Macaca fascicularis: one gene and its partners. The protein of the gene in region 1 interacts with the protein of each later gene in a biochemical or structural test. Links are inferred from orthologs where the notes say so. Each region holds a gene or a part of one and is shown in the gene's direction. Other genes may lie near its edges.

Evidence for each region.
Region 2: the proteins of NHERF2 (region 1) and SLC26A3 form a complex in vitro, tested with the Homo sapiens proteins (2 studies listed by BioGRID and IntAct, with this or other methods). The link is inferred for Macaca fascicularis from reciprocal best matches to the Homo sapiens genes NHERF2 and SLC26A3.
Region 3: the proteins of NHERF2 (region 1) and YAP1 form a complex in vitro, tested with the Homo sapiens proteins (2 studies listed by IntAct, with this or other methods). The link is inferred for Macaca fascicularis from reciprocal best matches to the Homo sapiens genes NHERF2 and YAP1.
Region 4: the proteins of NHERF2 (region 1) and ABCC4 form a complex in vitro, tested with the Homo sapiens proteins (2 studies listed by BioGRID and IntAct, with this or other methods). The link is inferred for Macaca fascicularis from reciprocal best matches to the Homo sapiens genes NHERF2 and ABCC4.
Region 5: the proteins of NHERF2 (region 1) and PODXL form a complex in vitro, tested with the Homo sapiens proteins (3 studies listed by BioGRID and IntAct, with this or other methods). The link is inferred for Macaca fascicularis from reciprocal best matches to the Homo sapiens genes NHERF2 and PODXL.
Region 6: the proteins of NHERF2 (region 1) and KCNJ1 form a complex in vitro, tested with the Homo sapiens proteins (2 studies listed by BioGRID and IntAct, with this or other methods). The link is inferred for Macaca fascicularis from reciprocal best matches to the Homo sapiens genes NHERF2 and KCNJ1.
Region 7: the proteins of NHERF2 (region 1) and SLC9A3 form a complex in vitro, tested with the Homo sapiens proteins (2 studies listed by BioGRID and IntAct, with this or other methods). The link is inferred for Macaca fascicularis from reciprocal best matches to the Homo sapiens genes NHERF2 and SLC9A3.

What each region holds. Positions count from the first base shown.
Region 1 is NC_088394.1:2,793,428-2,797,646, forward strand, and holds the start of NHERF2 (Na(+)/H(+) exchange regulatory cofactor NHE-RF2), read left to right. Parts: upstream 1-1,419; 5' UTR 1,420-1,527; coding exon 1,528-1,740; intron 1,741-4,219.
Region 2 is NC_088377.1:149,306,514-149,310,013, reverse strand, and holds part of SLC26A3 (chloride anion exchanger), read left to right. Parts: intron 1-257; coding exon 258-491; intron 492-2,325; coding exon 2,326-2,380; intron 2,381-3,500. UniProt on the Homo sapiens protein: Mediates chloride-bicarbonate exchange with a chloride bicarbonate stoichiometry of 2:1 in the intestinal epithelia. Plays a role in the chloride and bicarbonate homeostasis during sperm epididymal maturation and capacitation.
Region 3 is NC_088388.1:101,212,132-101,215,631, forward strand, and holds part of YAP1 (transcriptional coactivator YAP1), read left to right. Parts: intron 1-3,156; coding exon 3,157-3,350; intron 3,351-3,500. UniProt on the Homo sapiens protein: Transcriptional regulator with dual roles as a coactivator and corepressor. Critical downstream regulatory target in the Hippo signaling pathway, crucial for organ size control and tumor suppression by restricting proliferation and promoting apoptosis.
Region 4 is NC_088391.1:86,141,775-86,145,274, reverse strand, and holds part of ABCC4 (ATP-binding cassette sub-family C member 4), read left to right. Parts: intron 1-803; coding exon 804-1,053; intron 1,054-3,500. UniProt on the Homo sapiens protein: ATP-dependent transporter of the ATP-binding cassette (ABC) family that actively extrudes physiological compounds and xenobiotics from cells.
Region 5 is NC_088377.1:173,085,944-173,089,871, reverse strand, and holds the start of PODXL (podocalyxin), read left to right. Parts: upstream 1-1,128; 5' UTR 1,129-1,227; coding exon of another isoform or gene 1,228-1,270; coding exon 1,271-2,098; intron 2,099-3,928. UniProt on the Homo sapiens protein: Involved in the regulation of both adhesion and cell morphology and cancer progression. Functions as an anti-adhesive molecule that maintains an open filtration pathway between neighboring foot processes in the podocyte by charge repulsion.
Region 6 is NC_088388.1:127,421,323-127,425,598, reverse strand, and holds the start of KCNJ1 (ATP-sensitive inward rectifier potassium channel 1), read left to right. Parts: upstream 1-1,476; 5' UTR 1,477-1,995; intron 1,996-2,889; 5' UTR 2,890-2,934; coding exon 2,935-3,057; intron 3,058-4,276. UniProt on the Homo sapiens protein: Inward rectifier potassium channels are characterized by a greater tendency to allow potassium to flow into the cell rather than out of it.
Region 7 is NC_088380.1:827,707-831,934, reverse strand, and holds the start of SLC9A3 (sodium/hydrogen exchanger 3), read left to right. Parts: upstream 1-1,428; 5' UTR 1,429-1,555; coding exon 1,556-1,766; intron 1,767-3,925; exon of another isoform or gene 3,926-4,066; intron 4,067-4,212; exon of another isoform or gene 4,213-4,228. UniProt on the Homo sapiens protein: Plasma membrane Na(+)/H(+) antiporter. Exchanges intracellular H(+) ions for extracellular Na(+) in 1:1 stoichiometry, playing a key role in salt and fluid absorption and pH homeostasis.

The sequences.
Region 1 (4,219 bases):
ATTGCAGGGGTGGGGGTGGCAAGCAGCCATGGCGCCTCAGCCTAAGTGGCTTTTAGGGGCAGCTGCCGGGATATGGGCACCCAGGGGGCCATGGCCCAGGAGACTGCCCAGAGGCGGGCCCTGTGCTTGGGTGGGGGCAGGGGAGCCCAGGCCAAGGCCCCAGAGAGAGGATAGGGAGAGGAGGACTGCGCCAAGCCTGCTTCTACTGCTCACATGGGGAATTGCCTGGGCTGGCTGTGCCTGACCCCTGGGAACCAGGTATGTGCGGGGGGCCTGGCTGGGCTGGGGAGGAGGGCAGACTGGGGCTGTGCCTGGACTCAGCTGTCTTCCTATATTGGAGACAGAGGAAGAGCTGGGTGGTGAAGAGCATGGACTCCGAATCTCACATCCCTGGGCCCAAAGGGAGCTGAGGAAGCTTTGTGGGTCCCTCTCCAGGCCTGTTTGCAGGTCTGTGAAGTGGCCAAGCCCCTAGGGTTGTTCCAAGTAAAATGCGCTCAAGCATAAACGATTTCACTGTGGTGGCGACTGTCCTGTTGGGGAAGGAGGGACACTCGTGCTTCACGTAGAGGCTCAGGGACGTAGACGGCTGTGGGCAGGGGAGAGGAGGCCTGCTGCCTGCCTGCGGACACTGTGGAGCAACGCCTGTGCACACTGGCCACCACCCAGAGCTTAGAGCCCAAAGAAGTCAGTGGAGGCCCATGTCGAGACTCATCCTTTCGTTACCCTGCAGAGTCACAGTCCAGGCCTGGGGTGGGCTGGGACACAAGTAGGGGTGCCGGCCCGGCCAAGGGAAAGAATGGCGGGAATGGACGCTGTGCAGATAGCCCAAACACGGAGGGTAGGCCAGGGAGTCTCAAGCCACTGGCCCCCAGGATGCAGGGAGGGACAGCTGCGTGTCACGTTTAAACCTCTTTTTGCCTCCTGGGCCCTCCTGAGACCCCTGGGCCAGGGCAGTTCTGGCTGCAGGAGGGATCCAGATCAGGCACAGCGGAGAGGAGATAGGCACGGGGGTCTGGGAGGGCTTCCCCGGGAGGGTGGGGGGGGGCTGTGGCCCTTGTTGTTACCCTTTGGCCCCTTTGGGGGGGTCCCTTTTGTCCAACCCGTCGCCCACCTCAAGACCTGCCTGGATGCTGCACATACAGTAGGTATCCAATAAATGTTCCTGGGATAGAAGGCAAAGGCGCTGTCACCAAGGCGGCTGCCCAGAGCAGGAGTGAGACAGAGGGGTCCTGGTGGCTGGGGGGTCCCCTAGTCCTGCCGCCTTCCCCCACCCCCAATCGGGATGACCGGCCACGGAGGCCGGGATGGCTGGGACCGGAGGTGGGGGCGGCCGGGCGGCGGGGGCGGGGGCGGGGAAGGGGCGGGCGCGGGGGCGGTGCCGCAGCCCGAGCTGGAGCCCGAGCCGGAGCCCGAGGCGACGGGAGCCGAACGGGAGCCGCCGAAGCCACCGCCGGGTGCCCAGCGCCGCCGCCGCCCCCGAGCTGCCCCGCGCCCCTGCCCGCGGGCGGCTGGTGGGCAGCGGGCGCCATGGCCGCTCCGGAGCCGCTGCGGCCGCGCCTGTGCCGCCTGGTGCGCGGAGAGCAGGGCTACGGCTTCCACCTGCACGGCGAGAAGGGCCGCCGCGGGCAGTTCATCCGGCGCGTGGAACCCGGTTCCCCCGCCGAGGCCGCGGCGCTGCGCGCTGGGGACCGCCTGGTCGAGGTCAACGGCGTCAACGTGGAGGGCGAGACGCACCACCAGGTGGGGGCCCGCGCTCGCCCCCGGCCCGCCGCCCCCTCCCTGAGCGCGTCCCTCTGGGGCGGGCGGGGGTCGCACGGGGGCCTGAGGGGGCTTCCGCGGAGAGGACGCGGACATTGCTGGGAGGCAGCAGCCCGGCGCCTTCCGAGTCCCCGCGCAGGAAGCTCAGCCCTGCACAGGGGTGGGGGGGCATCCTGGCAGGGAGGGGCCCGCACTGCGGCTCCTGGCCGTTGGCCTCGCTCTTTGGTCGCGTTTTGGCCTCAGTGTGCTATGAAGGAGGGTGTTGGGCAGCCTGGGGCCCCTCCAGAAAGGTGGAGACCTGGGTGCTTTTGCGTAGTTGTGTGTACACGTGTGCGTGTGAACACAGCTGGGCGTGTGTGTGCAGGTCCCTCTGGGGTCAGCCAAGTGTGCACGCGCCTGCCTGTGTGTACCCAGGAGGGGTTGCAGTAAGGGCATCAGTGTGTCTGCAGTTGTGTGTGTGCTGGAGTGTGTGTGAGTATACAGGTCTGCGTGCGTGTGTGTGTGTGTGTGTGTGTGTGTGTACAGGTCTGGACTCCTGGGCATGTGAGAGCTGAGCTCTGTGTGTGTGCACACCTGGTTAGTGTACTCATCACTGTGTGTCTGCAGGCTGGTAAGTCTGTGTCTGTACTCTAGTGTGTCCCAGCCGGTATGCCTGGGACCGGGTTGAGTTGGCCATTGGTGGCAACCACATTCCTTAGCTCCAAAGGCACTACCCCTCCTCAGAGGCTGCTTAGCCCGGCTGGGGTTACTTGCTAAAGCCTCCTGCCTCCTGGCTAAGGAGAACAGAGCCTTTTCTCTGTGGGTTCTGACCCCTGAGGTATGTCTGTCTCCCACAGGCCAGGGACTTCCACCACACCCTGGTGGGGGTCCAGTGTCCACACACCCCTTGTCCTCCAGGTCCCCTGTCCCTCACAGCACTGGCGAATCCATAACCTGTCTGCATGGCTGGTCCTGGAACCCCAAGATTAGCAGTTGGTTCAGCTGGGCCTGCAGTTGGTCTCCTGTTCACCTGGTGCCTTGTCTGTCCCTCCGTCGGCCAGCCTCATGCTTTCCACCCAGTGTCTGCTGTGTAAGGTTGTTTGCTGAAGAAGGTGGGGATCAGGGCCGGGCGCGGTGGCTCAAGCCTGTGATCCCAGCACTTTGGGAGGCCGAGACGGGCGGATCACGAGGTCAGGAGATCGAGACCATCCTGGCTAACACAATGAAACCCCGTCTCCACTAAAAATACAAAAAAATTAGCCGGGCGTGGTGGCGGCACCTGTAGTCCCAGCTACTCGGGAGGCTGAGGCAGGAGAATGGCGGGAACGGGAACCTGGGAGGCGGAGCTTGCAGTGAGCCGAGATCGCGCCACTGCACTCCAACCTGGGCGACAGAGCGAGACTCCGCCTCAAAAAAAAAAAAAAAAAAAAAAAAAAGAAGGTGGGGATCAGGCCAGTGGCCTGGACCTGAGGGATTGAGGGTAGGGCTGGCAGGGCTGGGGCCTGGCTGCTGTTTGATAGTCGTTGCCGCCCTTGCCCAGGGAACACCTGCTTATCCAAGGCCCTGGGGTGCTGGTCTCTGAGGACTGGACACACAGACCATGGTGGACTCTCCCCACTGCCCCAGGAGGGCAAGAGGTGCAGTTACTGCCCCATTTGACAGTTGAGGAAACTGATGCCAGAGATTTAGGGTGACTTGTTTGGGACACATAGTCAAGAAGCAGCTGGGCACTCGGTTCCTCTTGTCTCACTCTGGGTCATGGGGAGAGAGGAGGGCCAGGGGACAGATGGGCCTGGCTCAGTCCCTCCTATCTATTCACCACCCCTGCTGAGCCCGGTGGCTGGTGGGGAGCCCTGTCCACCCTCCCCCAGGCCGCAGGTGGGAGTAGGGCTGCCCGTCTTCCCGCCCGCTTCCCAATGGACACTGCTTTCTCTCTGCGGGTGCACGCCGGCCCCCTGCATGGTCCAGACACTTCACAGGCACCTGTACCCACACGCCGACAGCCACCATGCCATAGCTGTTCACTGCCCCTCCCCCTTGCCGGCTGTACCTGAATGTTGCTTCCCTGGCTGTGTGTGCGTACCCGAGCCAGGAGTCCAGCCATTCCCCTCCTCACAGGTCCAGTGGGAATGGGCCCATGGTCATGGCCTGGAGGTGGACATAAGGCCTGGGGTCAGGGGTTTAGACTCCCATGGCAGAGAATGACAGGAATGGGCACAGACACACCCAAACTGGGGCCCAGGGAGACACCCCTCTCCTTCAAACCTGGACGCAGACACAGACTTTGAAACAGATGGATGCACGTGCACACACTAACAGGCAGACTGAAAAGCTGAAGCTCCACTGTGCGCCGTCTTTGTTACTTCCAGACGGGACTTACCCAGCTGCCCTACCCTGCAGCCCCTTCCCAGCCCTGCCTGGAGAAGACCCTGGGCTAAGGGCAAGGCTCTGGGAGGACCCTGAAGCCCTCACAGCCTGGACC
Region 2 (3,500 bases), on another chromosome or scaffold:
CTGGCTAATTTTTTAATTTTTTGCAGAGATGGGGTCTCACCATGTTGCCCTTGCTGGTCTCAAACTCCTGGGCTCAAGTGATCCTCCCACCTCGGTTTCCTAAAGTGCTGGGATTACAGGCATTAGCCACCACATGTAGTCCAATTCCATTGTTTGGCTCAACTCTGAATCAGTGCTTCTGAAACTCACTGACTATCTCTGACATACACAATATTTTTCTTGGTCACAGTTTTTACGCTTGTTATCCTCTCCTGCAGAAAGGATTTATATGTACTGTTGACACCATAAAAGATTCCGACGAAGAGCTGGACAACAATCAGATACAAGTACTGGACAAGCCAATCGATACCACAGACCTGCCCTTCCAGATTGACTGGAATGATCAGCTTCCTCTCAACATTGAGGTCCCCAAAATCAGCCTCCACAGCCTCATTCTCGACTTTTCAGCAGTGTCCTTTCTTGATGTTTCTTCAATGAGGGGCCTTAAATCGGTAATTTCTTTGTTCTTAATGGAAACAACCAATCAATGACTGAAGGTGAAAAAAAAATTGTATTTGTGGGCTGGGCATAGTGGCTCATGCCTGTAATCCCAGCACTTTGGGAGGCTGAGGTGGGTGGATCACCTGAGGTCAGGAGTTTGAGATCAGCTTGGCCAACATGGTGAAGCCCCGTCTCTACTAGAAATACAGCTGGGCGTGGTGGCATGCACCTGTAATCCCAGCTACTTGGGAGGCTGAGGCAGGAGAATGGCTTGAACCTGGGAGGTGGAAATTGCAGTAAGCCAAAATTGCACCACTGCACTCCAGCAACAGAGGGAGACTCTGTCTCAAAAAATAATAATAATAATTGTATTTGTGGAAGGATGCTCCTTTAGGTAACATGCATTTAATTAGAAGCAAATTATAATCTTAGAGTATTCCATGGAGGGAAAGGTGGTGTTCAGTGGACTCTTGAGAAGGGCATTTTCCATGAGACTGGGTACTATATTGAAGGGAATCAAATCTATAATAATAATGTATGATGAATCTGCTGGTGGACAACTGTGCTCACATTCCTTTCAAATTTCAATTCTGTGGTGTTTTCAAATCTTTGTGGGCATAGTATCTAAATTATTCTGAAATCAGAGAAGATCTGGAAAGGTCCTGGGAAAAAATGTAAGAGTGGATCCTTTTGTTTTATCCTCATTCACCATAAGCTGATTTTCACATGGCTAAAACCCAAATAGATATATGAAAGAATAAATGTCACATGTGATTTCAAAACACGACTGACAATCAGATTGCAGCCTGTTTTCTTTCCACAGATTTATCACATTTCTAAAATAAATTAGTTTCTAACAGAAATGCAGAAACATATAAAAAGAAAATTTAAGAATTTCTACATCTTTCTCTTTTTCTTGGGTTTTCACAAAAATCTACCCAAGTGAAAGCTGACCTAAGATAAGACCTATTAAGCATGAACTGGATACATGTGAACTGGATACAAAATTAGAAAATGAAAGAATTTTTTTTTAATGTTAACATCATGTAACTCTTAAGTCTACTTGCGTTTTCTTTTCTTTTTTTGGTTTCAGTTTTTGCTTATTTTAGCTTTTGATTACTTTAGCTTACTGTTTCTGCATTTTCACACACACACCCACCCACCCACATACACACACACACACGTATTTATTTTTTGGTTCTAGCAGTATAACACAAAGGACAAGGGCTCTAATTCTTAGTTAAGTGCCTAGAAGAGGTTCTGAAAGTGTTTACTAATGACGGCAATGATATTAATGATATTAATGATCATCTAACCTGATCAACAATATAAGCTACTTTTCTTACCTTCCATGATCTTACTCATATCACTACTGGTATTTGTTCTTAGCCTAGAGACCAGAAAAATGTATAAAGATTCATTGGTGCTAGATATATCCATTCATTGTGGACAAGAATAATTAGCAACTCATGGTCCGTAGGTTCTTTTTTTAAACTTTTATGCAGCAAGAAAGCTCTAGTTGAGATCATCCCAAAGAATACACTATTTTAAAATTAAATCAGAGTTGTTCTTATGAGTTTGAGACAGAACATTTTCCCATAATACTCCCTTCAAGAATGATCATTTTTAACTTCTTACTGAGGAGAAGGGCTCCTTTATTTGGGTTTATTTCTGTCATAGAGCCTTGGTTTTAACTTTAGTATCTTTTGACACTATTATCTCTTTTCAAAATGTTAAAGCTTCTGAAAGCAATACATCACCCGTAAGGTATAATTCTGATTGTTTTCTTTATATTTCTGACAAGTGAAACTGTTCCCTAAGGAAGATATACTTTCTTTTTAACAGATTTTGCAAGAATTTATCAGGATCAAGGTAGATGTGTATATTGTTGGAGTTGATGGTAAGTGGCTTTATTTTTGCTTTATGTTCTGACAATCACTTCAGGCTCAATGCCAACTCTCAATCTAGACAGCCTCTCCAAAGAATGAGTATTTTATATAAACAAGATGAAAATCTAATTTGCAGCCAACCCAATAAAAATCCCTATGGAAACAGCATCTTTGCATTTTAGTTGTGTTGATATGTAATTAAATAAATTCTACAATTTGAATCCTGATTTCATAGGCAACAAAGGAGGAATATATTAACTATTTTTTACTCTAAATTTCCTGAAAAAGTAGCCTTGTTTTCTGTCTCTCTTCCTCCCTTCCCTTGCACTCTCCAGCCCATAATAATTTGGTTTAGCTTCACCTGCTGATGAGACCATCCTTGCCAAGGTTATCAGCAATGTCCAGATTGTCAGGATTAACTGCCTTCGTCTCAGGTCCCTCTGCAGCAGCGTACTTAAGCATCAGGCGCTCTCTCTAGCATTTGTCTTTGAAACTCTCTCCCTTCCTGACTCTGGCAAGACATTTCTGATTCACCTCCTACCTCTCAAACATCTCCTCAGGGTCAGACATTGGTTCAACTCCCACTCTTTCAGTCTTCCCCAAGCTTCAAACTTACACTCGATACCATGGTTCTAATTCCACAGACTCTTTCTAGTCAATTTCCTACATGTTTATTATTTCATGTATATCTACTTGTTAATGAATCCCCAAACTATACCTCCAGCCCAGACCTTTCTTCTGAGCTGCAGACCAATGGACTCGACTGTCCGGATATCCCCCAGGCACCTCAAATACATATTTTTAATAAACTACGTATATGATTCCCCCTCCCAAAAATACTTCTTTCCTATCACAATCACTGCATCACTGCTTACCTAGTTTTCCAGATAGAAACCCTGAAACCATCACCAATTTCTCCTCTCCTTCCCTCTAGTCAGTGAGTCACCAGGTCCTATAAATATTTCCTCTTAAATCAGTCTCTTCCTATCCATTTCCAGAACTTTAATCTAGACCCTTCTCATTTCTCAACTAGGCCTTCTAGAAGGACTTTCTAACTAATATCCTTGTCCATCCCTATAATGCTCTCCCATCCTATTTTCTGAAGAAAGCTTCTTCAGGCAGTTTTCCGAC
Region 3 (3,500 bases), on another chromosome or scaffold:
TGAGGCAAATGACACAGTTTCTTTGACAAATAAATGACAGAAAAAACAAAGGGGGAACCTGTGTATTAAAACAGTGGTGGCCAGGCGCGGTGGCTCACGCCTGTAATCCCAGCACTTTGGGAGGCCGAGGCGGGCGGATCACAAGGTCAGGAGATCGAGACCACGGTGAAACCCCGTCTCTACTAAAAATACAAAAAAAAATTAGCCGGGCGCGGTTGTGGGCGCCTGTAGTCCCAGCTACTCGGGAGGCTGAGGCAGGAGAATGGCGTGAACCTGGGAGGCGGAGCTTGCAGTGAGCCGAGATCACGCCACTGCACTCCAGCCTGGGCGACAGAGCGAGACTCCGTCTCAAAAAAAAAAAAAATAAAAAAAAATAAAATAAAATAAAACAGTGGTCCTCAGAGTGCTGGCATGAATCAAAAGTCACTGGGAGGGCTTGTCAAAACACAGATTGCTGGCTTCATCCCATAGTTTCTCATTCATTAGCCCTGGGTCAGGGCCCATGAATTTGCATTTCTAAAACGTTGCTAGGTGCTCTTCCTCCTGATGATCCAGAAACCGCAGAACCATGTTATTAAAGAAGTCTTGGATTATGAATCAAATACAATGTATGGATCTTGTTTGGATTCTGTTTTGAACAAGCCAATTGTAAAAATAATAATAATTCCCTTGATAATAGGGAAGTGTAGGCATGGGATGGACTTTTGATAATTTTAAGGAATTGGTAAATTTTGATAGTGTAATCATGGTATTGTAATTATATTTTTCTTTTTTAAAGAAGGCCCCATCTTTTTAGAAATATATGTTGAAATTATGGGTAAAATGCTATATTGTTCACTTGAACATAATTGGCGCTGAAAAGTAGTTGAGGATAGAGGTAAAAAAAGATTGGCCAGATTTTGACAATTGGGAAGAACGCGAGTGATGAGTATACAAGGATTCATTATCTGTATTAATTTTTCTACTTTTCTGTGTTTATGGAAATTACCTTCAAAATGTAAAATATATGTTTGGAAACACAAAAATATATTCCTAAATAGCTCATAACTTAAATGTAAGTCACCATAGAAATTACACGTTTTTGGAATAGAACAGTCATGAATTATACTATTTCAAAACATGTGGGATGCAGGTAAAGCAGGACTTAAGGGTAAATTAATTGACTTAAGTCTTCCAAAAAAAGATTGAAATGAATTAAGTTCAACTTAAAAGTTAGAAAATGAAATACAGAAAAGCTGGAGGGAAAAAAATAAGAGCAGAAAAAAGGGAACTAAGTGAATAATGCAGTCATCTTAACTAGCTGAGAAGATTGGATTGAACCAAGGCATTATTCTGAGAGAGACTGGTCTGTAATTTTCCTCTCTGTAATATCCTTGGTTCTGTCTCAGTACTATGCTAGCCTGATAGAAGAATTGGGCAGTCCTGAGCCAGGTATGGTGCTTGCCTGCAGTCTCAGCTACTTGAGAGACAGACAGTAGGATTGTTTGAAGCCAGGTGTTTGAGACCAGCCCGGGCAACATAGTAAGACAGAAAAGGAAAAAAAAAAAAAAGTGTGGTAATCTAAAGAGAAATTAATAGTAGGACTTCTCTATTGTCTTAAATAGTTTCTGGCTCAGTATTTTTTCAGCACGCACTTCGTACCAGATGCTGTGCTAGGTATTGAGGACACATAGATGACTAGGATATGGCCCATACTCTGGCACTCAGTCTGAGGGAGCATATAAATTTGTAAACAAAAAATTAGAATCAGGCAGGAAACGTCAGTAGACAATATGGAAACGTTCCCAGGCAATTCCTTGAGAGAAGAAAATTTTTAATGTATAGGATGGACTCAGCTTTGTGAGGTTTTTCCTCAAGTAGTCTCCAAGAAGAAATGGCATTTACCAAGCAGGCAGTCTGTTATAATGGGACACATTAAAAATCACGAGGAGTTTGCTGTGTGACTGGGAGACCATTAAGTTATAAGAGCTGTCAGTGTATGTTATTTAGGATTTTTGTAGCAAGGTTTATATGAGAGATTGGCCTGTAATTTTCCTTTCTTTTAATATCCTTGTATGGTATCAAGGTTATGCTGGCCTTATAAGTGTTGGAAAATATTCCATCCTTGTTATGCTCTGGAAGAGATTGTGTAAGATTGGTGTTATTTCTTCCTTGAATGACTACAAAGCCATTGGGACCTGGGGTTTTCTTTAGTCAATGTGTACTAAACATTTAGTAGAAAGAGTGACCCAAAATTTCAACTTAAGTCGAATATGTATCTGAAAAGGTTTATTATTTTTACTAACATTTTCACATAAAACTTCCCTCTGCCCACTGGGGTTAATCCACAGTTTGATCAGTGTTGTATCAGTGACAGAAATTCACCAGTATGAAAACCCAGTCCATTTCTGACCACCAAATAGTGTATTACAGCTTCAAAAAAAAAATTTTTTTTTTTGCTATCTAGGCTTTGTGCTGTGTGTGCCATGGTGTCAAATGAGACAAATCTGTGTCATCCAAATACTTGTGAACTCAACTTGATATGAGCAAGCATCATATCATTTTAATCTACTTGCTTTATTGGGATGTGTATGTGGATATATTAAGGGCTGATTATTTTCATGGGCTTTGCTGCTTGGAATGCTTTGTCTTAGTTTTTGTGGATGAATTTTTAATTACATTTTTATATTTCATAAGAAGTAATGAATTTACATCATTCACACTTCAGAAGTTATAAATAAGGTTCTCCAGCTTTGTCCTTTAGTCAGCTAGTTTCTCATCTCTGGAACCAAAAGATGTTAGTTGCTTCTTAGCTATTCATCAATTTTTATATTCTCTGAATATGCAATATATATTCACTCCCACTCCCTCCCCTCTTTTTTTAACACTTTACCTTGCTTTTAATTTAGTAAGTCCTTAGAAACTATTCCTTATCATCATTGCCTGTTAAAACTACCTCTTGTTTCTTTTCTCTTATGACTTCCTTGTATCTTGTGACAACAGTAATAATAAATTAATGTAGTCATTGTAATATTGATGGATTTTTAGGTTATTTCCAGTCTTCTTGCCCAGAAAAGCTACATTGAATATCCCAAATTGCTTTTGAATAATTAAATTATCATTTTCTCTTCCTTCGCTAGTTTTTTAGGACAGATTTTTTTTTTCTTTTCATTTCAGCCATGAACCAGAGAATCAGTCAGAGTGCTCCAGTGAAACAACCACCACCCCTGGCTCCCCAGAGCCCACAGGGAGGCGTCATGGGTGGCAGCAGCTCCAACCAGCAGCAACAGATGCGACTGCAGCAGCTCCAGATGGAGAAGGAGAGACTGCGGCTGAAACAACAAGAACTGCTTCGGCAGGTGAGGCCACAGGTTAGAAACCAGCCTTCCACTTTTTGGGGTTTGTTTTCTTAAAGTTGGGCAGATTGCATTTTAACATTTATTAGTTACAGAGGAATGTTGTCTTTGTAAAACTGAGCGACACAGAAGCATTCTATCCAGCCCTGTCCTTGTCTTAGTTTC
Region 4 (3,500 bases), on another chromosome or scaffold:
CTTCTTACTAATACAGAAGTGAAATTCCAAATGTTTCTGAATATCCCAAATCCCAACAACGATTCTAAGATGTTAGTATTTGAGAATAATGGTGTTTAAAATAAAACTATGATTTATATTAATGTAGCCAAATGGACAGGTTATAGAGACTGGGCATATCTATATTGGACCAAACTCTATCAATCAGTATTTTTCATTCCAAACAGGCATGGAAATACTGTTAGTTGTTCTTTGTGTTATTAGAATTTTTTGGGGGCAGCTGGGCATGGTGGCTCACGCCTGTAATCCAAGAACCTTGGGAGGCTGAGGCAGGTGGATCACCTGAGGTCAGGAGTTCGAGACCAGCCTGGCCAACATGGTGAAACCCTGTCTCTAGTAAAAATACAAAAAATTTGCTAGGCGTGGTGGCGCTTGCCTGTAATCCCACTACTTGGGAGGCTGAGGCAGGAGAATCACTTGAACCAGGAGGAGGAGGTTGCAGTGAGCTGAGATCGCACCATTGCCTGGGCGACAAGAGTGAAACTCCATCTCAAAAAAAAAAAAAAAATGTTTTTCTGGCTTTGGATTAAATATTTGATTAGTTGTTGCATTCCAGCACCTGGTACTTCTTATGATTTTCTGGGTAGTTCCTGGCCACCTCTCACCTTTGCACCTTTTTGTTGTTGTCATTGCCCAGGATGGTCTCAAACTCTTGGGTTCAAACAATTCATCCACCTCAGCTCCCAACATGCTGGGATTGCAGGCGTGAGCCACTTTGTGTGACTGACATCACTGCTTTTTTAAAAACCTGTACTCTCTTCCAGGAAGGAGATTTCCAAGATTCTGAGAAGTTCCTACCTCAGAGGGATGAATTTGGCCTCATTTTTCAGTGCAAGCAAAATCATCGTGTTTGTGACTTTCACCACCTACGTGCTCCTCGGCAACGTGATCACAGCCAGCCGCGTATTCGTGGCCGTGACACTGTATGGGGCTGTGCGGCTGACGGTCACCCTCTTCTTCCCCGCAGCCATTGAGAAGGTGTCAGAGGCAATCATCAGCATCCGAAGAATCCAGGTTGGTGTCAGATGCCATTTTAAAGTTGTAGGTGCATTCGAGGTGAAATGATATCTCCTTTTATTTAGCATCACTATGTTCCAGTGTAATGACATTTAACTCTTTCATAACCAAAACGTGCTGCCATTCCACAATGTTGTGTGTACTTCCTTATCTTAGATAGAGCGCACTAAAGACAATGCAAGCATTGTGATCATTTATTGGCAGCAACCTAAACAGCAGTGGCACAGGGCTTTTGATGTGCAGGTGGTAACGGCAGGTGTGATTAAAATGTTTAAGCTGTCTAAAAGGAGGAAAAGCAAATAGATTTCATCTGTTACGTTAACGCAAGTGAGAAAGTAGCGAGTATGGGTTGAGTATGGTTCTTCTGTGGGCTGGAAGCAAAGAGCTTGCTGAGGTCCCTGCTTCTTGGTCAGGAAGAATGGCCTCAACTTCACTTAGCTATCCCTGTTTGAAAATAAGTTCTTTCCTCTGTAGATGTTTTCCTTGTTAATTTTTGTGCATGCCTTTAGGATCTCTGCCGTTTCTTTCCTATCCTCTTTTCACTTTTTTCTTACTGTTGATGAACCTAACTCTACCAGACTTCTTTCTTTCCAATCGGTTGATTTCTACTTACTGCCTTGCTCCGTTTGTACTATTGTAACAAAATACCTGAGACTTGCTAATTTATACATGTTAGACATTTATTTCTCACAGTTCCGGAGGCTGGGAAGTCCAAGATTAAGGCTCTGGCATTGGTGTCTGGTCTGGTGAGGACCATTCTCTGCTTCCCAGATGGACCTCTGTGTCCTCACATTGTGGAAGAAACAGAAGGACAAACTGGTTTAGTTCCCTCCAGCCTTCTGTAAGGACACTAATCCCCATCAGGAGGGCTCTGCCGTGGCGACCTAATCACCTCTTAGAGGCCCCACCTCTTAACACTGACCCTGGGGTGAAGTTCCAGCCTATGAATTTAGAGTAGGCATGCCCATTCAAATCATAGCATCCACTTTACACACCATCACCTTTTCCTCAGTAGCTGTCACTAAATTGCCAGGGGCAAATAATTTATATCACCAAGGTAAGGTCCTGGCACACAATGTATGCACAAGTATTTGTGTGTTTATGAATAAGTTGAAAATTAAAATAAATTGGCTTTGTGAGAGGGCCTGGCAAGACCTTGACTGTCTAAGCTTTTCAAAAATCTGCTTTGTTTTATTCCTGGTTCTTAATAGAGATGGATGCCCAGGGACAGACTCGAGTGAACTTAGCTGACACTGGCTGTGATTATTTTTTATTTTTATTTTTTTGGTTGGGGAGAGAGTGGGGTGGGTATTATCATAAAAGCTAAGATTCTTTTTTATGATGAACTTTGTTTTTTAAAGAAGAGATCTTGCTGTGTTACCTAGGCTGGAGCATAGTGGCTATTCATAGGCAGACTCCCACTACTGATTAGCAAGTTTGTATTTCGTAAAAAATATTACCTCTAAAACAGACCATACAAGGTCAATTCTTATCCTCATTCTTTCTGACAACAGCTTCAGGTAACACTGTGAAGGGATGGTCCATGCAGGTCAGTAACACTTTTTTCTTACAGCTTTTGCATCTTGAAAGAAATAACTTAGAAATATACTTTGACCAGAGTGTCTTTCTGAGTGTGCAGGACACCTTTTACAGATGGAAGGGCCACATGTGTATTGTGCTGCTGTAATTCTCTGACTGCTGTTGCTGCCCCTCACTGTGATTGCAGGCGCTGGTGTGTGTACTGTGAACCAGGGCTCTTGGAAGCCTTTACATGTTATTTCATGTTATCCTCACAATTGAAGGAGATAAGCATTAGTGTCCCCACTTTACAGAGAATGAAACTGGCTCCTATAATAGGTTAAGGAGTTTGCCTGTCTTAGAGATGGGAATCTGTTCAGAACCATGATTTCTTAACCATTATTACGTTGCCTGTTGTATTAGTCTGTTTTTATATTGCTATAAAGAACTTCCTGAGACTGGGCAATTTGTAAAGGAAAGAGTTTTAATTGACTCACAGTTCAGCATAGGTGGTGAGACCTCAGGAAACTTACAGTCATGGTGGAAGGGGAAGCAGGCACTTTCTTCACAGGGTGGCAGGAAGGAGAAGTGCAAGCAGGGGAAATGCCAGAGCTTATAAAACCATCAGATCTCATGGGAACTCACTGTCACTAGAACAGCATGGAGGAACTGCCCCCATGATCCAGTTACCTCCACCTGGTCCCACCCTTGACACGTGAGGATTATGGGGATTGCAGTTCAAGCTGAGATTTCGGTGGGGACACAGAGCCAAACTGTATCACCTATGTTGCTGCCTTAGTATCCTCTGGTGTGGGATATTTCCTTCAGTGTTCTTTTACTCATCTAGTCTTACTCCAAAAACCTTGAAAGGTTCTCTGTTTCCTGTGGAGTCCTATTTTTGAACCCTAGGTGTAGAGCTCACCTGG
Region 5 (3,928 bases), on another chromosome or scaffold:
TAGTCACACACACACACACACATATCGGGAACACCCTCTGTCTTTCCCATATGCGGTGTGGAAAACGGGGCCAGACGATCCTGCAGAAACTTCCTGATGAAAACAGCCCCGTCAGCCCTTCCCCTAAGCTTGAGGCCGGCTGCCACGGAACCTCATCCAGGGCTCCAGAGCTTCCTTCGCGGCTTCAGGGACGCACTGCCCTGCAGGCATCGCCTGCTTACAAACGACTTCAGGGGCTCACGAAGTACCCTGTCCCCGGGACGCGGCTAGATCCTGGGGAAAACCCCTCCACCCAGCCCCATCTGGCAGAGAGACTCCAGATTAGCAGCTCCGGAGTCACGTGAGCCAAATTCACGCCATACCCCGGTTCCAAGGTTAACCACCCCTCGCCCCCTCCGCTTCGCGGCCGCGCTGATGTGCCTCCTCCTCAGGCGGTCCTGGAGTCTGCGTCTCCCAAGCAGCTTTCAGGGGTAAAAAGGAGGGGAGCGGGGGAGGGGAGACGAACTTCTTTGTTCTTTCGCCAGATAAACTCAGTTTACGGAATTCTCCAAAACTCACTCCCATCCGCAATATGCAAATATCTCTGATCCTCACGTGGAGCGCGAGCTACTTCATTCATTGAGACTTTCGTGTTCCTGGCCCTAGGCTAAGTATTATCTTGTAGGATCACATTTAAGTCTCCCAGTAACCCCCTGAGGTAGGTGTTATTATCCCTATTCTAAAGATGAAAAGAAATGAGGTACTGAGAATAACTTGCCTAGGGTTTTACAATTAACAGATTGGCACAGTTAGGTTTTGAGTCCAAGTCTGTTTTGACCCAAAAGTTCTAAATCTTTGTAACTGTTCTTTATATAGCAGGAATAAAAGTAACAACCACTCCTTGCAGAGCAATTACTATATTCCAGGCACGGTATTTCTCCAAACTACTTTCAGAGGCAGGTTTGTCACTTACCTGTTATGTGACCTCAGGAAGTTTCTTAACCTCTTTTTGACTCAATTTCCCTGTCTGCAAAATGAGGCTAAAAATATGGTTGTCATGAAGAGCAAACGAATTAATATACGTAAAGCCTGGCACACATTCATCCCTGAAATTGTTGCTGTTGTTTTTTTAACCATCATCTCCATTTCACAGGTAAGGAACCTAGCCTTGGAGAGGTGAAGCAGTGAATTAGTCCAGCTTGCCCGGTGCACACCCAGCTGCAAGGACCCGCTCAGAAGTCGTGCGGGATGGGGGCCCGCCGGCAGGTGAATTGCACTTGGCAGGTAGGAGATGAGCTTCTCCGGGGTCGCTGCAGAACGCGCCGCAGCCCGGGAGGCCGCGAATGGTTATCAGCTACCACGCAAGGCTGGAGGTCCGCCCGCTCCGGATTTGCTCGTAGTGCGAGGGCCCCTGCTGTGTGCTGGGGGTTCCCGCCAAGCCCACTCAGAAGCACTCGGGGGGACACCTGTGGGCGGGGCCCAGCTGCCCCGCAGAAGCCCCCGGCCCCGGCCCGCGCGCACACACTCAAAGCCCCCCAAGGCGCGGAGGCTGCCCGCCCTCCCGCCCGCCGCGCTCCAGGGCGGAGTTTCCTCCTCTGCTCATTGTTCACGGCCCAGCGCCCGCCCAGCCCCGGCCCCGCCCTGCCCGGCCGCCGCCGCCGTGGGCGGGCACATGGGGGAGGGGGAGGGGGAGGGGGAGGGGCGGGGGCGGGGGAGGGGGAGGGGCGGGGGCGGGGGCGGGGGCCGGCGCGGACGGGACGGGCCAGGAGTAGCCGCAGCCGCCAGTGGGGCCGCAGCCGCGCAGACGCCGCCCAGGACGCAGCCGCCGCCGCCGCTCCTCCGCTGCTGGCTCTGCGCCCCAGCCCCGCTCTGCGGCAGCAGCAGGGAGGAAGAGCCGGCGCAGCGCGACCCGGGAGCCCCGGGCCACAGCCCGGTCGCCGGAGCCACCCACAGGCCTCCCCGAGCGGCGCCCACTCTCCTACCGTCCGGACGCGCGGACCCTCTGCCGGCCCCGCAGCCACCTGCTCCCGGCCCAGAGGCGAGGACACGATGCGCTGCGCGCTGGCGCTCTCGGCGCTGCTGCTGCTGCTGGTGTCGCCGCTGCTGGCCTCCCAGGATGGTGAGTGGCCGGCCCGGGCTCCGCCGGATGCCCCACCGTGCGCGTGTGCCCCCTACCCGGCCAGGTTGCAGGGAAGCCCGACGCGCCGCGTGGTCTGACCCGGAGCAGCCCTGTCGCCGCCGGGGTCACACACGAAGCCCTGACCTTGCACCATCCACGCCCCCTCCAAACTCCACTACGCGGCAGGTGCAGGGCCCGAGCGTGGATTCGTCTCCAGTCTCCACTCGGGAGGAGTGGGCAGTGGATTCTGCCCGGGCAGACAGGGGCGCGCCGGTGCTAAGTGGGTTTGCTTGGGAAAGAAAAGGGAGACAGCACCGCGAGGCTCGACGCTTCTGCGGGACCCTTGGGATCTGATTACACCTTTCCTTCGTGTTGGAGGGAATGTGGGGCTATATTGTGTATTCGTTAATTCCAGGCAAAGAGGCAGGCGAGAAGCTCCCGAGGAAGTCCCTGAAGCAGGTGACAAGCCTCCAGCCACTGTCCACGCGGGCAATGTGCTTACCCGTTTGCAGAGAGGGTTTTCCAAGCAATGTGTGCAGGCTCAACCCCCCGAGCCCGTGCTGGGGCAGGTACAGAGACTGTGGAAGTGGACCTTCCATAGTCCCAGAGTCACCTGGCTGAGTGGGGGTCCTACCTCCGTGTCCCCAAACCAGTCACTTCTTAGTGCGTGGCTACGATGGTGAGACCCCCTCGAATCCTGTTGTTGAAACGGGAACTTCTCTCTCGTAGAATAGGATTGAGCTGCATTTTAGACACACCTTAGAAACCGTACCTGTCTCTCAAGGAACAGAGCTGTACCTCAGAACATTCCCTCCTTGTTTCTTTTCAAGGTGAAATGTTACTCATTCTCTTTGGGGGAACAGGCGATGGCTGCAAACTCAACCAGAGCAGGTGTTCCTAAGCCCCTAGGAACATCCGGAGTCGGATCAGGACCATGGGAGAAGCGTATTTCTCATTCTCTCTTGCCCACCTGAGCACGTGTCTGCAGGGAGAAAGAGGGGAGGTGGTGTGATCACCCTAGGGCAGGAGGACTGCGGGGACAGCACAGACAGGGAAGGGACTCTGCCGCGAGCAGGTGCTGGCAGTTTGGGAGTGGACTCCAAGGGGCGGGGGGAGATGGGAGGGCAGTACAGTCTCTCCTCTACACCGCAGGAAACCTTTGGTAGTGGGCAGGGGCTGGCACTCAGGGAGCAGGCAGGTGTGGGCATCCTCCTGTGGCCGGCGGGAGACTCCACCAGCCTGACTAGAAAGGGAATGTCCTGGCGGGGCAGAATGTGTGTCCCCGGAAGAGGGGCTGCAGTGTGAGGAACAGTCAAAACAGCTTTCAAGGTGGCAATCACTGAAGAGCCACATGACATGCAGGGTTGAGATGACACCAGAGTGTGGTGGCACTCCTCAGCCCTACTCTCTGGGGACAGCTGGACTTCAGGGTGGGCCTTCATATGAACCTTTTGTTGGGAAGCCTCTTAGAACCACCCAGAAGGGCGTTGGGCTGTGTCAGGAAAGAGGGGTTAGTCCCTAGTGCTTCTGAGCTTAAGGTGGCTGAGCCACCCTCACTTTGAGGAGTGGGAGGCGCTGTGGGACAAGACCCTCCCTGTTCTGCCCTAAAAGGAAATGTTCCTAAGCCACCAGTGGGCAAAGCTCTGACTCTAGCTCACTGCTGGCTTCAAGGATGGATGGGACTGTCTTTCCTGGCACCTGGGCACTGCCAGAAACCGTGTCTCTTCCATGAAGCACCACTTCTAGCCTAGCACGGGGCATGGCACATGGCAGAAGCTTGGTATGTGGCAAACAAAAATGACCATAACCCAGTGCCTGCTATAACCAGCA
Region 6 (4,276 bases), on another chromosome or scaffold:
TTTGATAGGAAAACACAAGTGGAGAAAGACTCAAAAGAGGCAAAATCAAAGGAAGTTGTATTTCAGATGATGCATTAGTGAATCTGACATCCATTTAGATGGACCTCTGGATTAAGAAGGTCAAACATCACACACCCATAGGGAGGAAAACTTGGTGGTTTTCCTGGAGAGATCACGGCGTGGTCTGGAATGTCAGGAGTCGGGGCCACAGCAACTTGAGAAGAGCCTTGCTTGGGGGTCAGCAGGGCTTCCTGGAGAGATCACTGGGCTGGGAGTGATTTTTCAGACTCAGTCTCCCTATCTGTGATCACAAACATCTCTATCAATTTCCTACTTTCTCTCTCAGATATGCTGGATCAAAATGTACATTCCCTGAGCTTTGAAACATGGGATGAGGTTGGAGGAAGAGGAATGGAGGAGGGTGTGCTTATGTCTCATATGGAGATATTTGTATACTCTTCTATGGGAATATATATGACTGCACTCATAGGAAAATGCTCCAAACTGGTTGGTGAATAGGCTGCCCCTCTCCCCTCAAGGCCCTTTAGGGTTAGCAGGAAGCGTTCAAGGTGTTACACTTGAATGTAACACCAGAATACATGCTGGTGACAGGGAAGGCACTTATAAGTAGGCAGAATTCCAAGACACCCTGGTGATTCCTGCCCCCTTGTATACACCCCCTGAGGAACCCCAGGAAATCCTCACTCCCATGACTGGGGCATGTCATATGGCAGAGCTGACTTGAAGAAAGAAAGTTCGTCGGGGATGAGCTTGACCCAGTCATAAGCCCTTTGAAGGGATTGGGCTTTTCCTGAAGTAGGAGATTCAAATTATTAGAGGAATTAGACAGAAGGAGGTTTTTTTTCTTTTGCTGGTTTTAAAGATGGAGGGGGCCACAGAGCAAGGAATGTGGGTGACCTCTGGGAGCTGAGAGCAGCCCCCAGCTGAGAGCTAGCGAAAAAATGAGGACTTCAGTCCTACAACCACAAAGACCTGAATTCTGCCAGAACCACAGGAGCTTGAAGGGGGCCCTGAGTTCCACATGAGAATGCAGGCCTCGCTGACACCCTGGTTTTGGCCTTGTGAGAACAGAGCAGAGAACACAGTCGCATCGAGCCTGGACTTCTGACCTACAGAACTGTGAGCTAATAAATGGGTGCTGTTTCCAGCCATTATGCCTGTGGTCATCTGTTATGGCAGAAATAGAAAATTCGGTACAGAAAGGGAAGCCGGATCATAAACAGTGAGGAAGGCTGACTCTGGCATCAGATGACCTAGGTTCCTATTTTGCCTGGAGCTGAGGCACATTTGGAAAAGTTACTTCTCTAAGCCTCCGTTGCTTTATTTGCAAAATGGGGATAACAGTACTCACCAAGAAGAGCTGCTGCGAAGATGAAATGAAAAGTGTGTGTACAGTGCCTGGCTTACGGGAGCCCTCCTGAGAGGTAGTTCCTACGATTTTCCACCAGGGGGCAGGGCTGGGAAAAGGCGTGGGGCTGAGGGGCCGGAGTGCTTCAAACAACTCAAGGATAAGGAAGGAGAATCAAGAAGTCCCGAATTCCTACGGAGTGTCTGCATCGTGCTCCCACTCCCAGGAGAGAGACGTTATCTTCAGTTTACAAAAGCGGAAAACAGGAGAGAGTTTAAAAACCTCGCCCGGAGTCGCACAGCTAGCGCTGCAGGCCCTCCGGCTTCCGCCTCAGCTGCCCTCGATGAGCGCATGCCTGGAGGCCCCGCTCGGCTGCAGCGCCGGTGGGACTGGGAACCCGTGCCCCTTTCCTCCCCCCGCCCCGCCCCCCAGAAGCCAAGCCTGAAGAATTGTCTAAGAACTTTCCTTTTCGTCCCTCCCACGACTAAGGTCCAGGTCCCAGGAGTTTCCCTTGCACCTTCATCCCTGGCCCTGCAGAGGCCTGCTTCTCGCTTCCAGGGTCGCCAGAGCGCCCCTCCCGCCACCCGTCGATCTCCTGGCCGGATCCTGGGAGAGAAGCAGAGGAGGTTGGGACCGGAGATGGGGGCTGAGACTGGGGAAGGGAGCCTGGGAGAGATGGGGAGGGAGGCTGGGACTGGGGAGCCTGAGGGCGGCGGGAACCGGGAGTCCTGAGCGCCGCAACCTCTAGCCTGGCCTCGGAGTGTGACACACTCCGCGGGGGACGAAGCCCCCACTGGGGCTGGATAAGGCGATGCTCGCCGCCTGGGTTCGGCCCCCTAGTCAGCTGCAACTCCGCGGCGGCGGAGGAGGTGGGGCTGGGGGATGCAGGCTGGGAGGGTGAGAGCCAGGAAGAGCCTGCGGAGGGGAGACAGAGGTCCTGTCCCCAGGGAACGGGCGTGGGGAGGCCTTTGGCAGTGCCGGGGACTCCCCACCAGCGAGTCTGTCTTCCTTCCAGCGGCCCCAGCCACCTGGAGGCTGTGCCCAAACCACACAGGTGGACAGGATCCTCCCAGGGGCCAGTCCTGGTTTCCCAGGTTTTCACAATTACTAATCTTAAAACAAAACAAAATTATCTTCAAGTGTAGTAGAAGAGGTTTAATGGCGCAGAGCCTGGTGGTAATAAATCTTTAAAATTCCTTCAGGTATTTCATTCAAAAACCTCACCATTTTGCAGCTATTTGTTCTATCAACTTAGGTCTGTGTCTATTTTTGAATTCCTGAATGTTTTACGGGTTTACTTTTGGAGCCTGTTTGTTTCATAGCACATGAGGGAGTAGGTGTGAAGTCCCAGTGGAAACTGACACAGGGCTTCACTCATTCAGTCAATTAGTCAATCAGTGAACCCCCGCTCAACACCCACTGGGTGTTTGAATTATGTCGAGCTCTGGGGACACTTCGCTGGCATTCCTGTGCTTTCCATTCCTGGGGATCTGGCTAAAATGCAGGTTCTGATTCTCTAGGTCTGGAGTTTCCAGAGTCCGCGGTTTTGCTAAGGAGCTGCAGTGATGTTGATGCGGCTGGTCCTCAGTGCACACCTGAGTGGCACAACCTCTCTGCCCTGGACACACGCTGCCATCAGCTGGGAGCTGGACAACGTGCTGATGCCTAGTCCCAGAATCTGGCCCCAGGTGAGTCCAACAGGCAATTAGATTGAGGACCCTTGATGCATTCTCTGTCCAAAAGGAGTTCCCGGTCTGGTGGGGAGTACACAGGCAAAAAAAAAAAAAAAAAAAAAAAAAAAAGTGCAATAGAGAGTGAGAGAGAGAGGCCAAGGTGCAGTTCTGAATTTGGCGTGTCTGGGGCTGGTGAGGAAGGGTCAGGAAGGCCCTGGTGAGGAAGGTGCCCAGTGAGCAGGATGAGGTGGCAGAGCCTTGTGGGCATGAGAACAGGGGAGCAAACAGTAATAAAAGTTCGGGCATGGAGTCCCTGTTATGTGCCATCTTTGTGCTGAGTGTTTTTCGTGCATTGTATCATTTAATCCTCAAACAGATCTATGAAGTCTGGTTTAGTCGCCTCATTTTACAGGTCACAGAAGCAGAGTGATTCAGTAGCTTGCTTCAGGCCACGGTTACTAAGCTGTGGACTAGGTTTTGTCTGATTCCAAAGGCTCTGAGTGCAGCCACTGCTGCTGGGGAGGTTGTTCCTCCTGAGCCCTCTGGGTGTGACCAGGTTGTTCTGAGCCCCCGGGGGGATCAAGCCCTGAGAAAACTGGCCCTGGCTGGAGCCAGATCCACACCAGCCTGATCTGCACCAGGGAAGGAATTCATGATTTCCTGCTGTGTGGCCCACTGTGCACAGGCTGCCCAGCAGCTCGAGTCACTTCCCGCCAACCAGGGCTGTGTTCTCCCTCTCCCTCCTGCTCCCCTCCAGCATGCTCCCTATTCATCTAACAGCTGCTCCTCTTATTGTGGTTAGACTTTTTCTAACCACAATACTTGCCCCCAAAGGTCCCCGATTGCTCCAAGGAGATAAGGTGTCCATGCGTCCCAGGTAGCACCTGCTGTTCTGGCAGCATCACCAAGAGTGCCCCGTCGCTCTCTGAAGGTCTGCTTGGACAATGGCGCCCACAGTAGAAACAAAAGCACTAACTAGCAGCCGCTGATTTCATTCTTAACACGCCTTTACTGGATTCTCCTTCTTCTAAGGCAGGTCTGCCTCTGCCAGGAGTGAGGGTAATGCCTCCTCACTCTGGAATTTCTCTGCTGGGCAGGATGTCCATGTCATAGTAACCAGAACCTGTGGGTCTTGTGCTGAGCTCTGCCGCCTACACCCGCGGCTGTGGCTGTGTGAGGTCAGCGAGCGCAGCTGCTGGATCGGGTTCTTCCGACACAGACACACTCTACATCC
Region 7 (4,228 bases), on another chromosome or scaffold:
CTCCATCCGCACCCACCTACCGCCCACCTGCCCTCCGTCCACCTATCATCCATCCACTCAGCCACTATCTTGCGAGTGCTATTGTGTGCCCAGCTCTCTTCTAAGCTCAGGGGATGCATGCGTGAGCCCCTTGCTCGTGGAGCAGACATTCCCAGGGTGAGGGCAGACAGCTCAAGGTCAAAGCCAGCAGCCCCCAGGGCTGAGAGGTGAGCTGAGCCCCGGCTGAGTAAGCAGGGGATGCGGGAACTCAGCAGCCACAGTTGTGAGCTGAGTGGGTGGGGGGTGGGACAAGAAGGTGGCATTGGAGCCAAGCCCCTGGGGAGCCGAGGAAGGGAGCAGGCAAGAGCTGTCCAAGCAGAGGGAGCAGGGTGTGCAAAGGCCGATTGCTAGTGTGGGCTGTGGCGTGCATGGGGGTGGGTGTTAGGCAGTGGCTGGGGTCAGAGCTCCTGGGGGAAGTTGAGCCTTTCCTCTGAGAGGGAGGGTCCCAATAGGAGGGACTGAAGGGGCAGGCAAAGGGCCCAGCAGGAGGCTTTGCAAGTGGCTGCAGGCAGGCTCTGAGAAGCTGCTGGTTTTGTGCGAATTTTGAAGGTAGAGCACATATGCTAAGAGCTTGGAAACCCCTGGTGAGCGAAAGAAGTCCGCGTGCCTCCCAGGTCTGGGGCTGGAAGGCTGCAGGGTGGGCTTGGAGGAAAACAGGGGTGTGGTTTGCATAGTGGAGTCTGAGATGCTTAAGGGAGCCAGTGCTGCCAGAGTGGGCTGTGGGCAGAGGCCCCGCATCAGTGTGAAGCCCTGGGGGTATCGAAGTGTTTTGGGTGGAGGTCAGAAGGCAGGGGCCGGGGCGTGGAGGCCACAGAGCCTGGGGTGGGGGATGCGGCCGGCGAGGGGAGGGGCAGAGAGACTTCCCAGCGCACCACGCCAGGTCTGGGCGTCCCCGGTTTCTGGTAAGTGGCCGGTCCGGCTGCGGAATGCAGGTTCCTGCTGAAGACACAGCGAGACGTGAGGCCCGGGGGCCCCGTGCACCCTCGGGCCGCCCTGTGAGGTCTGCGCAGCCCCAGGGCCCGCGTTTATGAAGGATTGGGGCGAGCGCACCCGCAGCTGCCCGGGCACCCCACGAGCTGAGCGGACGCCGAGAAGCGCGGGGAACCGCCTGTCCCGCCGCCCCGCGCTGTGCTCCCCTCGCCCCCAGCCCCAGGGAGGCGGTCGCGCAGTCCCGGGCTCGCTCTTGCCGCGACCTCCCGGACCTCCAGGCCGCAGGCTCCGGGGAAGGGTGGGGACTGGGGAGCGCCGGGTGGGCGTGCGCGGGCGGGGCGGGCGTGCCGGGAGCTGCTGCGGTGTCCGCGCTCGCGAGTGCGCGGCGGGGGCGGGCAGGCTCCGCCCCGGGGCGGGAGGGGGCCGCGGGATTAAAGGCCACCCCGGCGGGCGGGGATCGGACTGTCGCAGGCACCGGCACCGGAGCGCGCCGGGTCTTCGCCGGGTCCCAGCCCCGCGCGACGGCCGAGCCCAGCCGGGACCCCCCGCGACATGCGCGTCCCAGCCCCGCACTAAGCAGGCGGCGATGTGGGGACTCGGGTCCCGGGGCCCCGGCCGGGGACTGCTGCTGGCGCTGGCGCTGGGAGGGCTGGCGCGGGCCGGGGGCGTGGAGGTGGAGCCCGGCGACGCGCACGGCGAGAGCGGGGGCTTCCAGGTGGTCACCTTCAAGTGGGCCCACGTGCAGGATCCCTACGTCATCGCGCTCTGGATCCTCGTGGCCAGCGTGGCCAAGATCGGTAGGTGGCCCCGGGGTCTCCGGGTCTGCCCGCGGGGTCTGCGGCCGCCTCTGCCGGGTCTGGGGGCTTCGTTGTGGCCGCGCCCATCAGGTCGGAGCCGGGCGGCCGCGGCTCGGGAGAGTCTGGCTCTCCGGTCCAGCAGAGCGAGACTCGGGAGCGACTCTGGCCGCGCTAAGCCGCCCCTGCGGGTCCCGAGGGTCTCCCCTACCCGGCGGGGGCACAGCCTCGGAGCCCCTGGCTCGCGGCTCCCGGGTCCCTGTGGGGTCTCCGTCCGGCCTCCGCTCCGAGCCCCGCAGACTGTAGGCTGCTCGCGCCCGAGGAGTCCCTGGGGCCGGGTTTCCTTGGGGGTACTCAATCTTTTTAGAGAAACGTCCTTGGAGTGATGGCGCTTTTTCGTGCGTTACAAGGGCAGAAAGGAAAAGCGGTGCCACCCGCATGAAACCCAGCAGAATCCTCCCTACCGGCGCAGCGTTCCCATTGGCGGGCCTCCTTTTTTTTTTTTTTTTTGGAAAATCCCGGTCGGTCAGATTTCTCTTCTCCTTAACTTGCGCCAATGAACCAGTAATGTGGGCACGGCAGGTAGCTCCTGGCAAGGTGACAGGAAGGTCAGCTTCCTGAGGAGCTCGTGGGGATCAAAGTTTCATGTGTTGGCCCACAGGGGAGGGTCTCTCCAGGGGTGGCGGAGAGGTGGTCACTTGTGTAGAGGGGGGATTAGGGGACACGAGTGGGGCCAGGAGAAGCAAGATCAGAGCAGCAGGCGCCGCCGCAGGTTTCCAGAGCGGCTTTGGACTGGGGCGGGGTGGGCAGGGGGCGGCGGTTTGGATGCTGGGGCCGAGGAGGGGCGCCCACGCAGGACAGGGGAAGGACAGGCTTCGGGGAGAACAGCTGAGAGAACCTTGGCCTTGGTGGAACCTGGTACGCCCAGCAGGCTTGATTGGAGAAGGTGCCTTTTCCTTCAGTGACGCCTGCCGCCTGCCCTATTTATGCCAGGGTCTCCCCTCCCCTCCAGGCCCCTTGAGTGTTTGCTTTCTGTCTCGTAAGTGCTCTTCTGAGCCCTCCCGCGCCCTCCCTTCTCTGCAGCCTCCTCGCTTCTCTGCAGCCTCCTCCCTTCTCTGCAGCCTCCTCCCTTCTCTGCAGCCTCCTCCCTTCTCTGCAGCCTCCTCCCTTCTCTGCAGCCTCCTCCCTTCTCTGCAGCCTCCTCGCTTCTCTGCAGCCTCCTCCCTTCTCACCCCGGTGTCTTTCAGCTCCCGGCCTGGGCTGCCTGCTCTCCGGGCTCACGCTGGCCTCGCTGTGCTTTCCACTGGGGGCTTGCGATGCTGGCCGTGGGGGAGTCTCTGAGGCTGGCTGCCTCCTACAGGTGATTTCCTTGAGAAGGTCCCCTGGGGCATCAGGGAGGTCCAGCCTCAACCTGGGCTCTGCGGTCGCCCAGTCCTAAAGCTCACCCTGCTTTCCTCTGACGGGCGTGTCCCGCTGGTGTAAACTGAATAGGTAATTTCTTTTATTTCTTTTCTTTTTTGAGACGGGGTTTCATTCTTGTTGCCCAGGCTGGAGTGCAATGACGCGATCTCGGCTCACTGCAGCCTCCACCTCCTGCCACAGCCTCTCTGGGATTACAGGCATGTGCCACCAAGCCCGGCTAATTTGTATTTTTAGTAGAGACAGGGTTTCTCCATGTTGGTCAGGCTGGTCTTGAACTCCAGACCTCAGGTGATCCACCCGCCTCGGCCTCCCAAAGTGCTGGGATGACAGGCGTGAGCCACCACGCCTGGTCCTGAATATGTAATTTCTGTACAAGCTGGGGCCTCTCCCAGTTCAGCCCCGTGTACAGAGTCAGAATCTGGCATCTGAAGGTCCGAAGACAGCCACCAGGCACCAGCCAGCCCCGCCTGGGAGCCCGCAGGGAGGGCACACTGACCGGGGCTTTGCCTGGCCTCAGAGTTTGTTATTCACCAGGAAAAGCCTTCGGGTCTCCCAGACACTTGGACTGGTTCTGGAAAGACGTCCTTGAGGGCAAGGAGCTGCCGGCTCCAGCAGCAAGTCCCGGGGGCAGGGCGGTCCCAGAATGCATCTCCTGGGGAGCTGGCCCTTTACGAAGGCCCACCCTGATAGCACCGAGTGAGCGGCTGTCTTTGTCCCGGGGTTGTTGGCCCCACCTGGGAAGGCAAGAGCCTCGCCCCGCGCAGCTGTGAGAGCTCATCGAAGCATCCCACCGGCACAGACCTCTCCAGACCTTCCCTCTACACTCGCTGTCATCCCCTCAACCCACTGTCCACGCTGCAGCCCCGGCAGTGACAGCTGAGGTCTGCCCTGGGTCTGCCCTGATTGGCCCCCAGGCTGTCCCACCCTCCATCCCCTCTCTGCCAGCCACACCTCTTGAATGCAGCCCCTGGCCCTCCCTGTGTGCTTCCTCCCCCAACCCCTCCCCTGTGAACTCTGGACTTCTCAGATTCTGCTGGCCCAGA